4 linked regions of the Drosophila melanogaster genome follow. The protein of the gene in region 1 interacts with the protein of each later gene in a pairwise test. Each region holds a gene or a part of one and is shown in the gene's direction. Other genes may lie near its edges. The genes, in order: CG12645, Pkc98E, CG14634 and nompB.

Region 1 (3,664 bases):
TGCACACATTTTCAGCCAAAGCCGCAATCAGTGCGACAGAGAAGGTGCTTCTGCTAGAGAGAGCGAGAGAGAGAGAGAGAGAGAGAGAGAGAGCTATAGGCGGTCTGTGCGAAAATAAGCTAACAGTTTAATCAGTTGAACGAATGTTGAGCCAAATCCCAAGACCCCCAAAAAACGAAGGCCAATCGTCGGGATTATCGAGCAAGGAGTGGCCCAAATGAGTGCTCTTAATTTGAATGTAAGAATTTAATGAACTAAATGAACTGCCAGGAATAAATGTAAATAAATAAATAATCCAATAATAAAGATACGCCCCTGTTAACCTTTAACAACTAACTTATTTATGTAGCTCCATTTTTAAACCCTGATAGCTGACCTTTAGAATGCATAAATAGACAAATGTCAGGATCCATAATGGAATGCGAACCCTTTTACAGATTTATTTGCCCGCCTCATACATTTATTTGCGTACCCAAGTCAGCACCTGATACGCGAGTTGGTCCCCATTCACTCCGCCGCTGTCAAATTCAATTGCAGTTGCTATTCACAATTGTCTGGCATGTCGGCCGATAAGCCCACGGCATGGCACTCGGACCCCACCCCCCCTTAACCCCTTGACCCCTATTCAATCCCCTATCACACCCCCCCCCCCCCCCATTGGGCCCACAAACAGCGTGCAATAAATCAAACATCAAAGCGATGAGCCAACTTGAAATGGACTGCAAATTTATGCAGCGACAGCTCTCAGTGCCCCGATCCCAAAAAAACCCGATTCCCATTTGAATGGCAGATGGCGGAACAACAACAGCAGGAGTAAGCAAATCAAAGGTTGGCACACCCTGGAATTCATAAATAAAATTTAAGACCTTAAAAAAAAAACAGGCAAATTTAATATCAGGAAAGTTCAGGCATTTAACGGACAACGATAAATGTTAGTTTAAGCAATGTAAAGAAGAACGTTCCTTTTTTTTTTTTGGATAAACTAAAGGTATATTTTTTTACCTAATCCAGATATGTCAGTTATCCGTATGCAAATGAAAGTTTTCATTATAATTTGCCGTATACCTGTTTAGTTTATTTGCGCCTGTATACTATTTACATGCATGCGATAAAGTTAATTAAATGCAAAGTGGCAAACAGAATTTCATTCACATTTTTCCATCCTCATCGTGTCGTTGGAAAATATTGAAAAAACTTGAAGGAAAACAGAAAAACAAAAATGAATACGCAAACAGGAATACATTGTGGAAAACTCTATGCGAGAAATAGCAACACTATAAGATTTTGATTCATAACATTCTATGCAACTCGTTTTAAAGAGATATTTATACACTTCAAATAATTTTAAGAAATTTTTGTAAAAATATTTACGTGTATTTTTGAGCATTTGAAAATTTGTGTTGCCAGTGCAAGCGGTCAGCAGCACATATTGCAAAAGTTATGAACAGGAAATGAAACGGAAGCTGACAATATTCTCCAACGACGATGAAATAAAGGTGATTCAGCTAGACCATTTCCATTTCAAGCACTTTTTGACCAACTGTGGAGTTTTCTATTGGGGTGACTCGTTGATATCGCTAGCAGCTGGTTAATTGGCCCAGAATGTTTCACTATCATCGACAACTGTTTTTGGCTGGTTGTTTCTTTTTTGCCAAGGAATAAAAACCATCGTAGGGCGAAACTGGCCCAACAGAAGGGTTTGGAATGGCCGAAGAGAAGCATCGCATGTTGTTCCAAGACCAGGATCCCGGCCAGGATCTGCAGATAGAGCGACCCATGTCCTTGTCGCCATCGGAACCGCCGACCTACTATGATGCAATGCAAACGTTTACGATTCAGAATAATTTGGATTATTCCAACGATCGGCGAAGAACCCTTTTTGCAGAACCCCAACATCTAAGGTCCAGGGTGGAGGAAATGCCGATGCCGATGCCGATGTCCCAAACGAAAGACGAGGTGAGCGTACAATCGGAAGGATTAGCGGACAACAATAGCATCGATCATCGTGCAATGCCACCAGTGAGAAGTAAGTGCGATGGTAACTATGAACTGAACACTCATTCGATTGCATATTTTGAAATTGTGTATTGGCCAGATTTCTTTATCCTAAGCCCGCAACCCAAACTGGGTAGCCAGGCGATGGACATCGTGTGCCCAGCTTGTGGTCAACGGGGAGTCACCCGTTTGAAGAGGTCACCTAATGCTCGGACTAACCTTTGGGCCCTCTGCTTGTGCACTTTTGGGTGAGTTGGGTATTTAAATTAGTTTGAAAATTTTAACTAACTTTTAACCCAAAACGTTGTTAGCTTCAGAAGTGCTAAGTTTCAAGTACTTAACACTAAATATGAACAAAATGATGAGTAAACTTTCAAAAATCGTATGAAATAATGGAAATAGATAAAGTAACTTTCGATTTACATACCTCGAACTTTGATATACTCATATCCGTATATATGTATCTATGTTTTTGTTTTCAGTTGGTGCTGCTGCGCTTGCCTGTTTCCGTATCTATGGAATGGCTGCCGGACAACGAATCATTACTGCTCCGCCTGCGAGATCTTTCTGGGCGCACATTATCCGAGGAGCTGCTGCTGCTGCTGCTGCCGGCGGCGGTAGTCCGGAAATATCCTGCAGGATCGCAGCCGGAATCCGGCCGCTAATTGTGAAAGTTTTCCGTGTGTGCGAATAAAGCTGAGTGGGGCGGCACGCGCTTCTGACCGCAAGGACTTGGCGCTTATTCGCTTGTAATGAGTAACGCAGTGCCGGGCGCGACCGGAAATTGTGCGCCGTCAAATCGAATTGCCTACCTAAGCCCATCGTCCTTCGTCCTCAATCCGCAATCCACAATCCACAATCCTTTCAACATCGGACACCATACACCGATTACCATTGCCATGCTCTGTACTGAACTGCCCTGTCGCCCAAATGATGCATAACTGGCCTAAACAAATTGCCTCATCATCACTCCGTTTCGCACATCCTGCCAACGAGTGCTGGTTGTTGTGGATGCTGTTCGTTATTTGATACCCTGCAAAAAAAAGAAGAGAGTATTCAATTTAGATACAATTACTTAAATATAACAATAAAATTATAAATATGTCTAAGAAACTATTATGTAATTGGGCAAAAGGGCAAATGCAATCTTTTGCCAAGAACTTATATACCCGAAATCGAGAAGAGTGTCCCCAGAATTTGAACCATCCGCAGTTGTTTGGCCTCCAGTTGCGCTTTTTTGTTTTCGAGGTTTCTGCCTATTTCAGTGCTTTGCGCGGCTTTGTTCAATTTTTGGTACTGCAATTGGCCAGCGGTGGCAGCAAATTCAATTAGCGCCTCGTACGTTGCAGCCTTCAGCGCAACATGGCCTTCGACGAATGGGCCAAAAACCGTTACTGAAAGCCCAGCTATGGATGGATGGATTGACTAGGCCACAGCTGCGGGGCCGAGAAACAAAAGGACAGAGCTCGACAATTAGTCGGTTCACGGTGCCGCCAACAACAATAATGACCAAAAGAGCATTATGGCCGAGCTGGTGGAATAATGTGGAAGCTAAAACTCAATCGCATCAAGTATACGCCGCTTTGTCCACGCATCAGTTTATTATTGCTACTGCTGATGCTGGCGCCGTTGCTGTCGTAACAAACAATGATAATCAAAAACAACAATA
Region 2 (4,930 bases), on another chromosome or scaffold:
GTTCTTGCCTTTTTGTTTTCGCTGCTCCTTAGCCTTCTTTTTCTTCTCGCGCTTCTTCGACTTCTTCTTGGTCTTCTTCTTCTCAGGTTTTACCTCCTCCTCTTCGGATGAGGAGGGTTCCGAACTCGATGCTGAGTCCACTTCGGAAGTGGGCCTTTCAGGTGGCACTTCTGGTACCTTGAATTGGCTTTGAGCTGCAGGTTCTGTAGTAGCCGCTGCAGTGGAGCTCGTAGAATGATGTTCCGAGTAGCCCTCTGGCTCCTGCATGCCCACGCAGTAGGAGTTCTTGATGAAGGACTTGCAGCACTTGTAACCCCAGCGTCCGGCGTTCCAGAAACTGCCCCAAACTGTTGTGTGATTGTTGATATACACATCCTCCTCGTAGATACTGCGCGCTTTCGGTTTCTCCACGCCCTTGATAACCTTGCCGCTGCGAGAGTACTCGATGTACTCCTCGGTCTGCGCCAGCAATAGCGACTTTGGTGGAACCTGTAGATGCTCTTCGCCACCATATTTCTCCACAATGTGTGTTTTGGTCTGGAAAAATAAAGGAAATGGATATAGTAATGTTTCCAAGAAATTTCCATTTTCAATTACTTACACTTGACTTGAACTGTTCCTTCTTCTGCTCGTACTCCTTCTGAAGCAGCTCCAACTTAGTGGGCTCCGCTAGCAGATGCACATCAACCCCCTTGCCATGAGCTTCCCAGGCAAACAACTGGGCGGTGGCTTGGGCTGTAGTGTCTCCAGAAAAGCGTACAAAGTTCTCGCCAGCAAACTCAGCTCTGCAAGAATGAGTAGTTAAGAAATTTCTTTATATGTGCAACTTTTTGTTACTCACTCCTCTTCGGGGACAGCAGGATTGGGATTGTCACGCATGGAGCGCGTCTTGGGATCATAGTAGGCCGAGTTGGGATCCAAGTTCCTCAGGTACTTCGCCGTATCCTCGCGGATACGCAAGTTGCGCACTGTAATTCGCTGTTTGGAGTCCACTTTTGTGCCGGGCATGTCCACTTCGTCCACATATTTGTCCTCGTTGCCTTCCTCATCGGATATTTCAGCATCGGGATCTAAGGGGTACATGCGAATGATATTAATTCAACTATAAGCACTCTGAATTCACTTTTACCTACCATTTTTCAGCTTCTCTGCTTTAAGTTGTCGCTTGGCCTCTTCCACCTTTTCGTACTCCTCAATGATCTCTCTGTGATTGGCCGGATCGTAACTACTCCAGCGATCTCGTTTCTCGTCATAGTTCACCGCCGCTTCATTGACCAAATGCTCGTCGTGCACGACGATGGATTCAGCGTACTTGGCTTGGACTTTCCGCGGCCGCTCCAGGCAGTCCTTTCGTTTGTGTGTGACGGCGCCACAGTTCTCGCAGGCTCCCTTGCGGAACTTGGTAATGATGCGTGCGGTGTTAAGTCCTTTGGGCGCCCTCTTGTCCAGCTGTCCTTGCTCGTCCTCGTGCTGCGGTCGCTGATGCTTGAGAGTGGGCCCAGCCGATCCGTAATACCATGGTGCATTCGATATGTACTGCGGAATGTGGGGATTTATGTCGCGACCCTCCTCGTCGACGGCGGCCGGAGCTGTTCCCGCTTTTCGAGCCTCCTCCAGCTCCTTGGCCTTGCGCCAGTCCTCACGGGACTTCTTCTTGGGTTCCTCCTCGGCATCCTGGTCGTGCTTGCTCAGAATGATCTGCGAGACCGGCGTGCGCATGGGCCCCGAGCTCATATTGCCTGATTTTATTTACTAGATAATATTAGTTGTAATATTTATTTCTCTTTTATGTTATCGGTTATCGAAAAGTGTTGGCAAGCAGAGAAGCACTTGGCTTAACAGCGAAAGTGTTGGACAATCTGTAGCACCCCCACGATATGTATCGCCCACCTTGGCACATCGCTAACGTTTTTCCAATAAGAATTGGAGTGAAGTGAACATTTTTATCAATAGTAATACGCGAAACAGTTTTAAAGCCAATAAGAAAACTACCCAGCAATGCAACGGAAAATGGTGGACACTGTGATTTTGTGAAACTGTTCGAATTCGTTGGAAAACCAAGGAAATTGCCTGGGAAAACCAATAAATTTATAACGCTGTGCAAACGGGTGCGTTTAACTGTGTGCGTGCGTGTGTGTATAAGCGCATACATATGTCGAGCGTGTGTGTGTGTGTGCTCTAGTGTGAAGGCATCCTTAATTTTTTCGCACACATAGCTGAACACTTTTTCTCTGATATACAAGTTCCTGCGCGCGCATATGAATTATTTTATTCTTTTTGTTTCATTGTTGATTGCAATATTTTCTGCCTATTTGGTGTCGTGCATACCCATTTCACATAAACATTGTAAGGAAGCGTTTCAATAACTTTTCATTTGAAACGTTAAACATTTTCTATATACCAACAGTAGAGAGAGCAAGAAAATAAGAGAGTGGTATATGTATATAAAATCCATCGATGGGACTTTCTAAATATTACTCCGTGTGTGGTGCTTGATTGTGAAGCGAAAAATGTCAGCGAAACGTGTATCTCATAGCCAAGCGGAGTGGTTAGCATACAATTTAAAAAACAATGAAATATAATATTTGAACTACGAACATAGTGCGCATTTCGTATGTTTACCAACACTGCGTTCGTTAGTGTCAAGCTGACAGGTGGACAGTACGGCAACTCTGCCAGCTGGAAGACCTTCGTTTTCACCAATTAGAAAATTACAAATTTTCCAATTGGACGGGTTAGTTTAGTTAATTGAGCGCACTTATTGGCGTTTCGTCAGGTGTTTCCAATTGGAGTGGGCGTGAGACGCGCGTGTATTGGTGGGTGGCAGAAGTGCAAGTGAGAGGCATCATTAGAAATTCTTGTTGTTCTCTCTTTGTTGTTTAATCTGTGGAAAAAAGCTGACTGCGTGTGTATGTGTGTGTGAAAGTGTGAGTATATTTGCCATACATGAACACAAAGAATTTGCATAAAAAAGTGAGCAAGCAATGGCAATATACATATGTAATCAAAGCTAAACGACACTGAAAGTACCCAAGATTGTGTGCGAAGAAAAAGGGCAACTAAGTATGTACTTGTTCCCACCAAATTGCCAATTAGAAAACGCGTTATATCCCAATTGGATGCGCATTAGACTAGTGGCGAGACTAGTGTACACTAAACAACAATCTGTGGAATTGCGAAATAAACAAAGTTGCACTCCTTGGAATGATTTATACGCTAGAAATATTACCATAGCAGATGATGGTCGCGCACTATTTTCGACTTTTGTTCCACGGACTGTTGTCGTTTGAGCGATTGCCTAATGTACACACACAAACGGGCTGAAACACAGTGGCAGCCAAAATAGTAGTGTTGAATAGTAAAAGATGAAAAGAATTGATATTTTTGTAAGCTACAGATTTTCGTTTTGCAAAAATGAATGTACATTTTTTTCTGTGAATCATGAATCCTTTCAATTAAACCCAGAATAAGTCAGTAACATACTGAATCATAGTAGCGAAATTATTAATATTATTATCTGAATATACATCACATTTGAATTTTTTTAATAAATGCTATATAATAGTTAATACGCATCGTTAAGGAAATAAATAAATATATATGGTGCAAATTCCTTTAACATGTCATTACTATTTTGACCGCTACTGTGGGCGTAGATATGTGTGTGCACAAATTCCATCGATGCGAGGCTTAATCGACCTTGGGAGTGAATCGAGTATACCGCATACGCCATTCACGAGTGTCAATGACCTACGCCAACATTGGCCCACAGCGAAAGATGCGAATGGCAGTCAGGCGATTGATTAACCCATCCCGAATTGCTCTTCCTCCGATTGCAGATCAGGATCATCAGCCAGCCGCACACCACCACAAGCCGAGTGGTCCACCGCTGCTCCCCAAACAGACACGCAAGGACATCGCACGGAGGACCGAGGAGCAGCCGGATCACGAACAGGATCACGACCAGCAATAGGATCTAGTGCAGCCGAACGGGACATTCACCGATCGCACGACCATGTTCACGGGCAAGCTGCAGATCAAGGTGTGCGAGGCGAGTGGCCTGCGGCCCACAGACTTCCAGAAGCGCCACAATCTCACCTTCGGCAAACTGGCCGACGAGCAGCTCATCGACCCCTATGTCTCCATAGATGTCGACGAGAGTCACTTCGGTGAGTGTCCTCCCACTTCGATTTCAGCTCAAATATTCAAATATGGTTGGGAAACAAAAGTCAGTTAGATAGTTACAAATGTTAGTTACCTAGCTAAAGTGTTGCATACTTAAATGGGATTTGGCAGCTAACTTTATTTATTATTTCATTATCTGGTTATTTTGTTACGCACAGATCGAGCCACCACGCGGCCAAAGACATTCGATCCTGTTTGGAACGAGCAGTTCGTCCACGACGTGACCAATGTGAGCAACATCAACTTGACCGTCTTTCATGATGCTGCTCTGCCGCCGGATGACTTTGTGGCCAACTGCATCATCTCCTTCGAGGACCTCATGCAGAGCGAGACGGCTGTGCAGGATCTATGGGTGGGTTTCGAACATATAGTAGCTAAATCTCTAGGAATACTTATACTTACTTTTACTTCTTGAAACCTCTCAGGTTAACTTGGAGCCGCAAGGCAAGATTCACGTCATCATTGAGCTAAAGAATCGCACGGGTACGTAGCGAAATAAAGATTTGAACAATGTTCAGCGAATGCTGATCAATTCCATCTGATTTCAGATAAAGCCAAAGCCGAGGCCGTGGTGGAGCACACCGTGGCCGTCAACAAGGAGTTCAAAGAGCGCGCCGGATTCAACCGACGTCGCGGTGCCATGCGTCGTCGGGTCCATCAGGTTGGTGCCCATTTAACCAGTTGAGAATGAGCGTAACTAATATGTTTCCTTTGCTTGAAACCAGGTGAATGGGCACAAGTTCAT
Region 3 (2,898 bases), 9.3 Mb from region 1:
AGCAGATACCCTATTCATAACCAATAGCTTGTGTAGCAAAGATTTAACCGGGTCCTGCTTTCTTCGCTATAACAAATTTATAGCGAAGTTTTAAGCTGGGCAAACTCTTTCCGAGCTTCCGGAAAAGATCACGTTTTTTCGTTCATCTCAAGTCGGAACAAGTCCCATCTCCATAAGCACCCCAAACACACACACACACATGCGCAGATAAACGAACACTGCAAATGGGAACTTCGAAATATACAGTTCTGAAACCGCAATGATGGGGTTGACCATGTGAGAAGGACGAGCCCCAATGCACAGTCCTAGAAATCCAGGGCCATGGGAACGAAACTCCCACCAGAACAGACACATCACTTTTAGAATTACACGAGTAACAATGCCAGTCAGTTCACCCCAACCCCCCCCCCCCCTTCCGTACGTTTTTCTGGTTTATTTTCCCCTTTTAGCCTTACTCTGCGTTTTTCCGTTATGGGCCTGCAAATGACATTGATATTTTTCCAGTTTGCCATATTCGCGAATTCGGGGAAATGCGGAAAAGTGAGTAGAGTAAACATTTAGATTGAAAAGGCTGTACTCTTGATATTAGAGATTCGCAACTTTTTTCACGGGATTTTGTGTACATTAAATTTATTTGGCTTAAGTCAAGAGAAACATGTGTATCGCTTCACTTAGAATGAAGTGAATTAAACAGGAAATCCGCTGTGACTTGTGTGACATCATGGCAACTGCTTTCCCTTTCGGCACTTTCACCAATTTCACCAATTACCCCGCATCCTGTGGGTTGTTATCGCCGTACAAATACTTTGCCCACGTAAATCATTCATAAAAGTATAAATGTAAAGCAAAGTAAAGGGGATGGGGTTGTTCTTTTCGGCTTTTGTATTCAGTTTCAACTTTCGTATAATTACAAAACTCATTAGTGCAGAAACTTTTTGGTCGTCGACCCTTGGAAAGTATGCACTGCTAATTGAAATTGAAGTTGTTAGAGACGGAGGACGCTGGTCGCAGCATTTTTGCCAAGTCGGATAAGCAAACAGACCCCAGCAGACCATAGAAAACTCACCCTCTCATCTGAGGAGCTGGCCATATAGAAGGTTCTCTGGACTTCTGGAGACCGTAGAACATGCTGTTGGTCTTTTAGCCCAAGCGCAGTGCCTTGAGGATCAGCGAATTTTTTTTCTAAATGCAGACCGTGGAGTGTCCCATTGCGGGGTCTCCGCTTGCCACCTCCCTTCGCAGAAGTTCAGCATCCGTTCAAATGAACACCTTCAGCCGAAGCAGGTGCTGGATGGCTTATGGCATTGCGCTGGCATTGGCATCGAAGATCTCCTCGCTACACGTCCATCTCGTCTTTCACAGCCACCATCATCGGCTTTGATGTGAGTGTCGCATGGCTCACTCTTTAAATTCAATACGAAACTGGTGTGAAACCCGCGCTCTGCGCCTGATTTGCATTCGCAAATTGGTAATACAATAGGTAGTCGTCGGCTGCCGTTTTTCCCTCCCCTCCAACCGCCGAAACCCGATAGTCCTGATAGCGTGCACTATATACTGATTGGAGTGCGGGGCATTTGTGAAATTAACATAAGTGACACCATTTTGCATAATGGGAGTCTCCGAAAACAATTGTTGGGGGGCACCAGTCTAGTCCGATTCCGGGGAACACAACTGTACCCACAACAAACCCGCCGGCTATAAAAGCAGACAGCTCTGGGTTGCACTGCCTCAGTGGGAAGCTCTCCTTTCAGCTAAAAGCTGCGGGCGGCACAACATAAATAAAAGGGCCCTAACAGGTGGGAACTAAACCATCAGGTGATGGGTAACTTGACTTTGGCCTGGAAATTCTTTTATTGACTGCTGACGAAATCAGCCTGGCACATTCCCCCATCTTCGGCACTTCTACTTATTATTTCTAGCCACAGAAATATGTGCTTTCTCTTCCCACTTGGCTGCTGCGGCTGCTCCTCATCGAAGCCTTGCCAAAAGAATGGAAAGCAGCGGCAAGTGCAGCACCAGCCGGACGTCCTGGGGAACGTGATATCCACGGAGCCAGGCTACTTCAACCAGGTGACCATCAGCCAGCCATCGCTACCCAGCATGAGCCCCAGTTCAGTGTCACTGCCCCACCGAATAGTCACGTCTAGCACCTTGAGCTCCTGGGACGGCGAAGTCTGGTGGCCCAAAAGGGACTCCATCGAGGATTACTAATCCATAGTATCTTAGCAGAATTGATTAGCGTATCGCTGCACTACATAAATGTACGACTTACAAAGATGTTTGTCAAAAACTCTTATATTTAATGAAACTACCGACTCTGTTTTTAGTTCTCACAAAGAGTGTACCTATTATTTCTTTTCTCTGGCCACAAAAACCAAAAGCACAAGAAGACAATTCTTTTTCGCCTCCGCGAGTCGCACGTAGCCCCTGTTGGAGTATGCATTTTTAAAATGAAATTACTCCACGTTTTGCGGGAGACAGAGGTAAAGGATTCTTGTGGTTAAGACTGTGTAATAAAAATTTGATTAGCTGCTTGTTTAACTTTAATTAAGTTGATTTCGCACACACACTGAACATAGGAAAGTTAATCAAATATTTAGCAGGACCTCTTTGCCGTTTTCCCGTACGAGTGCCGCAGGGTTAAATTCTGTTTGGGCTGGGCGTATATTAACATTTTGGCTAAGCAAACTGGCGCAAGCAAACAAACAAATGCCAGAATATTCATGATGATCATTAACACACAGGACGCACAGGACACACAGCAGAAGAGAGCTAGCTTCCAGGATATGCAGTCCAGGAGCAGCCTGTGACGCCTGCGAACAAATTTGCACAGCCTTCGGGCGGGAGTTTAAGGACCCGAATACGTCTGCAGGCTCCACATTATGTCCTTGGCAAAGT
Region 4 (5,062 bases), on another chromosome or scaffold:
TTGTTATATTTGTTTTATTGTTTTGTTACAGCTAACTTTTGTTAGCCGGCGCTCCTGAAAGGGCTGAATTAATAACGACCAAGGTGACAAAGGGGTTAATAAAGTCTATAAAAAAAAATTAAATAATTTTATTCTTTATTTACTGTCTACAGGCCGGAAGCGTTTTCTCTTGTACTTCAATAAATAGGAGTTTTTATACCCGTTTATCGTAGAGTAACTACTAGATTCGTTGAAAAGTATGTAACAGGAAGAATGAAGCGTTTCCGACATTATAATGTACATGTATCTGTATTCTTGATCAGGATCAATAGCCGAGTAATGTCCGTCTGTCTGTCTGTCCGTATGAGCGTGGAGATCTCAGGATTAAGCATGAATTTTCTAGAGACAAACCCGCAGCGCTAGTTTGCTTCCAAATATTGAAATTTTGAAAATTGAAATTAACAATATTTGATGTAGTTGTGATTGTGATACGTCAGCAATGTGTAGGTGTCTTGCTCTTAATGTTTGGGTCAAATCCCGAATGATACCCCTGAGTGTACTAAAGAAATTTATATTTATTTTATTGGAAAAATTTTAAACATAAAGTGGGCTTTAAAACTGTCTTTTTATTCTGTCTTTTTTCATTCTTCTCTCTGTAAACTCTACAAAAAAAAAAACAAGGGAGAATGCTATATTCGAGCATATATGTATGTATATAAAGTCTTAAGCATTTCCAAGCTTATCAGGAACAAGCAATGATCTACTCCTGCCTTTTAGTCGATTATTATGTAGCGAGTTAACCAAAGTCTGAATACTAGCCAACTTATATTACGTTTTACATAATACAAACTATAGACCACAAATAATGTATAAAAATCTAGAGGAAAAAATTGTGAAGCTCTTGGAGTCATCTATAGTTTTGGCCTGGCAACGCTCACCCAATAAATTATTGAACCTGGATACAAAATTGGCCGAGGCATTGAGTAAAGCCAAAGAAGCATTCTCATTGGATAGAACATTACACCAATTTCGAGACCAGCACGGTGAAAATGTTTATCACAACTTCGATTTGACATATGCGGTAAGCACGACTAGAAGGATAATTTAAAACTTTAATATATATGGACTATAGGTTTTTTTTAATCTCGCGGAGCAATACGAACGGAGTGAGATGCACATCGAAGCCCTCAATACCTACAGCATTATGGCCAAAAACAAGATGTTTCCACACGTCAATCAGCTAAAACTAAATATGGGTAACATCTACTACAGCATGGGTATTTACCAAAAGGCGGTTAAAATGTACCGCATGGCCCTTGATTCTGTACCAAAGAGCTTAAGTCAGTTAAGGCTAAAGATCCGTGAAAACATTGGAATCCTTTTTATTCGCATGGGCTCTTATTCAGATGCTGCTTCTAGCTTTGAGTTCATCATGACGGAGCGGGCAAACATTAGAAGTAGCATTCACCTCTTACTCTGCTACTTCGCCTTGGGCGATGTGGAGAAAGTAAAGTTAGCCTTTCGGAGACTTTGTGATGTCCAAACCGAAGCAATAGAATCGGATATGGAGAGTGAGACGAATATCATTAAACTTCAACAGCAGGCTGAGCCGATTCAACAATGTGGCGAAATCGACGTGCACCAGACAACGAACAAGACACGAGCTCGGTTATAAGCGCAGAAGGTGGAGGTAAACCATACGGTATGGTCCATACCCGTTTCTCGTAGAGTAAAAGGGTATACTAGATTCGTTGAAAAGTATGTAACAGACAGAAGGAAGCGTTTCCGACTGATAATAATATTTTAACAATTGAAATTGGGTTTTATGTTTTATATTAAATCAGATAACAATTAACTAAACTTATTCAAACTTTTATAGAAATGTCTTAGTATAAAATGATAAAATAAACCAAAATGATTTGGTTTAATAAATACCGCAACCTTCTTACATTATACATTTAATTGGTATTTATTCACCTCTTTTACGCATGTGCTGCTTATACGTGATCACCAAGGCAACTCAACCAAAACAAAGACCAACCCCCAAAACCGTTCATATTGATTGAGAACCTTATTATACGCGTGTAGTGCGGTGAGACAAAAATGACTTCTCAAATAACTGCTAACGGAACGCAAAGATTACCGGAGCCTGTTTCCGAACATGAAGCGGTTCCGCCTCCCCCACCCACGGCGGCGGGCAGACCCAGACCCCCCACTTCACAGCTTTTTTCAGTGAGTTTTGAAAAAAAAAAAATTTAAAACGCTGTGTAATTTCTGTAATTCAGCGCGGCAATCTGGCCAGCAGTCGGGCAACAGGAGGCGATAAATCAGGTCTTGCAAGACCATCAACAGCAGTCCGGGCTGTGGGCTACGCTGCTAATTGCGAGTCTGCTCATCAAAGGTTCGAACAATTTTTCCTGGAGAAGGCGAAGCAACAAACGCTCTCGTCAAGAGCCGCTGTGGATGCCATAAAGGATGTAAAGTAAGTAAGAAAATTATTTTTAGAGGACGGTTGCATCAAAGGGGTTATCAAAAATCGTAAAAAAAAAATAAATAGAAAGGTACTGAAGTTAAAGGTATACTGAATCTATATTCATGTATTTATTCACTTGCACCTTATAAACTTACAAGCATACAGAGGTGGTCAAAAGTATTTACACAACGTGCTTTTTTTCTGTTGTCAATTGTCAAGAAGTGGAAAAAATAACTGTTCATGGGCTAAAAATAGAAGCATTAAACTTGTCTGTTGTCAGAAGTATTTACACACAATTTTTAAGCTTCAAAATTATTTGCACAGTGCAAATTGAAGATTAGTCTAGTAAAGTTCTAGTTGATGTTGATCGCTTAATTGGAACTTAAACTAACTGTTAACAGTTATGTTAATAGATAAAACTAAGCATTAAATTTGTAAAATGGCAAAAACAAAGGAGCTATCAGTTGAGCATCGAGCCGAGATTGTCACTAAAATTAAGGCTGGTACTTCTGCATCCAAATTAGCTGAGTTATACAAAATATCACGTAAAACTGTGTACAATTAGGTAAAAAAAAAGGACATTGGATTGGGAATTTTGGAAAATAAAAAGAGAACTAACCGAAAAGTTGCATTGAACCCAAGAGACTGCAGACACATTATAGGAGTTGTACTATATAATCCCACCATAAGTCCCGTTAAAATTGCCGCAGCATCGAAAAATTTAGTTAGAGAACATATTAGCGATAGTACACTGCGTCGCAGAATGAAGGAAGTTGACATCAACTCCTATGTTATTCGTGCAGTATTTAATATTACCCCAAGAAACAAGGAAAATCGTCTGGCATTTGCCTTGGAGTAAAAAGAGAAGCCTCTCGAATTCTGGTTTGATATTTTATGGACTGATGAAGTTGCGTTTCAGTTTCAGGGATCCTTTAGCAAGCAATTTATGCATTTCCCAATACAACTAAAGGGTAATGCCGTTCAGCCAATCAATCGGTTTGGTGGTGTCACGGTGATGTTCTGGGGCTGTTTAAGCTACTATGGGTTTGGAGACATGGTACCGATAGAGGGTACAGTAAATCAAACAGGATACCTCCATATCTTAAATGAGCACGCATTGACCTCAGGAAATAGACTGTTCTCCAAGAATGACTGGATCTTGCAGCAGGGCAATGCTCCATGCCACAAGGGCCGAGTACCAACCAAGTTCTTGAAAGACATAAATCAGGCGGTACTTCCATTGCTCATATTCCATATAAAATATTTCGTTTAAATTCAATAAAAAAGGCAAAAATGAATTAAAAAAGCTGTGTGTAAATAATTATGAATTTTTTAACATAACATAATTTTTAAACATAGTGGAATTTAAAAATGTTATTTTAATTCTGTCTTTTTTCATTCTTCTCTCTGTAAATTTTACAAAACAACAAGGAAAAGTCTTAAGCATTTCCAAGCTTATCAGGAACTAGCAATGATCTGATCCTTTTAGTCGATTATTATGTAGCGAGTTAACCAAAGTCTGAATACTAACCAACTTATATTACGTTTTACATAATTCAAATTATAGCCCACAAATGAAGTATAAAAATCTAGAGGAAAAAATTGTGAAGCTCTTGGAGTCATCTATAGTTTTGGCCTGGCAAGGCTCACCCAATAAATTATTGAACCTGGATACAAAATTGGCCGAGGCATTGAGTAAAGCCAAAGAAGCATTCTCATTGGATAGAACATTACACCAATTTCGAGACCAGCACGGTGAAAATGTTTATCACAACTTCGATTTGACATATGCGGTAAGCACGACTAGAAGGATAATTTAAAACTTTAATATATATGGACTATAGGTTTTTTTTAATCTCGCGGAGCAATACGAACGGAGTGAGATGCACATCGAAGCCCTCAATACCTACAGCATTATGGCCAAAAACAAGATGTTTCCACACGTCAATCAGCTAAAACTAAATATGGGTAACATCTACTACAGCATGGGTATTTACCAAAAGGCGGTTAAAATGTACCGCATGGCCCTTGATTCTGTACCAAAGAGCTTAAGTCAGTTAAGGCTAAAGATCCGTGAAAACATTGGAATCCTTTTTATTCGCATGGGCTCTTATTCAGATGCTGCTTCTAGCTTTGAGTTCATCATGACGGAGCGGGCAAACATTAGAAGTAGCATTCACCTCTTACTCTGCTACTTCGCCTTGGGCGATGTGGAGAAAGTAAAGTTGGCCTTTCGGAGACTTTGTGATGTCCAAACCGAAGCAATAGAATCGGATATGGAGAGTGAGACGAATATCATTAAACTTCAACAGCAGGCTGAGCCGATTCAACAAATTGGCGAAACCGACGGGTACCAGTCTTTAAACAACGAACCAGTCACGGGCTCGGTTATTAAGGCAGAAGGTGGCGGTAAACTGAACGAGACCGTAAAGTTTGCAGCCACAGTGAAACATCGTTATGTTGTCCAAGCACTTAAGAAAGACGAGCTGGCCGTATATAGAAATGAACGTCGTAATGCCGTTAAACGATCTATTACAATGATTGTAGACTTAATATCACCTTTTATCGAAGATAACTATAATGATGGTGAGTACGACTGAGATAAAATAC

What was found.
Region 2: the proteins of CG12645 (region 1) and Pkc98E interact in a two-hybrid assay, tested with the Drosophila melanogaster proteins (one large-scale study listed by BioGRID).
Region 3: the proteins of CG12645 (region 1) and CG14634 interact in a two-hybrid assay, tested with the Drosophila melanogaster proteins (one large-scale study listed by BioGRID).
Region 4: the proteins of CG12645 (region 1) and nompB interact in a two-hybrid assay, tested with the Drosophila melanogaster proteins (one large-scale study listed by BioGRID).

What each region holds. Positions count from the first base shown.
Region 1 is NC_004354.4:10,151,908-10,155,571, forward strand, and holds CG12645 (uncharacterized protein), read left to right. Parts: upstream 1-1,704; coding exon 1,705-2,038; intron 2,039-2,095; coding exon 2,096-2,243; intron 2,244-2,422; exon of another isoform or gene 2,423-2,477; coding exon 2,478-2,616; 3' UTR 2,617-3,102; downstream 3,103-3,664.
Region 2 is NT_033777.3:29,037,257-29,042,186, forward strand, and holds the start of Pkc98E (protein C kinase 98E), read left to right. Parts: upstream 1-1,899; 5' UTR 1,900-2,108; intron 2,109-2,573; exon of another isoform or gene 2,574-2,816; intron 2,817-3,839; 5' UTR 3,840-4,015; coding exon 4,016-4,169; intron 4,170-4,343; coding exon 4,344-4,537; intron 4,538-4,610; coding exon 4,611-4,668; intron 4,669-4,733; coding exon 4,734-4,846; intron 4,847-4,910; coding exon 4,911-4,930. Other genes in the region: Slu7, read right to left, coding at 1-537, 602-785, 842-1,070, 1,134-1,734. UniProt on the Drosophila melanogaster protein: PKC is activated by diacylglycerol which in turn phosphorylates a range of cellular proteins. PKC also serves as the receptor for phorbol esters, a class of tumor promoters.
Region 3 is NC_004354.4:860,863-863,760, forward strand, and holds CG14634 (uncharacterized protein), read left to right. Parts: upstream 1-1,745; 5' UTR 1,746-1,796; intron 1,797-1,873; 5' UTR 1,874-1,929; coding exon 1,930-2,211; 3' UTR 2,212-2,338; downstream 2,339-2,898.
Region 4 is NT_033779.5:21,586,376-21,591,437, reverse strand, and holds the start of nompB (no mechanoreceptor potential B), read left to right. Parts: upstream 1-2,014; 5' UTR 2,015-2,082; coding exon 2,083-2,211; intron 2,212-2,264; coding exon 2,265-2,461; intron 2,462-4,019; coding exon 4,020-4,245; intron 4,246-4,296; coding exon of another isoform or gene 4,297-4,317; coding exon 4,318-5,038; intron 5,039-5,062.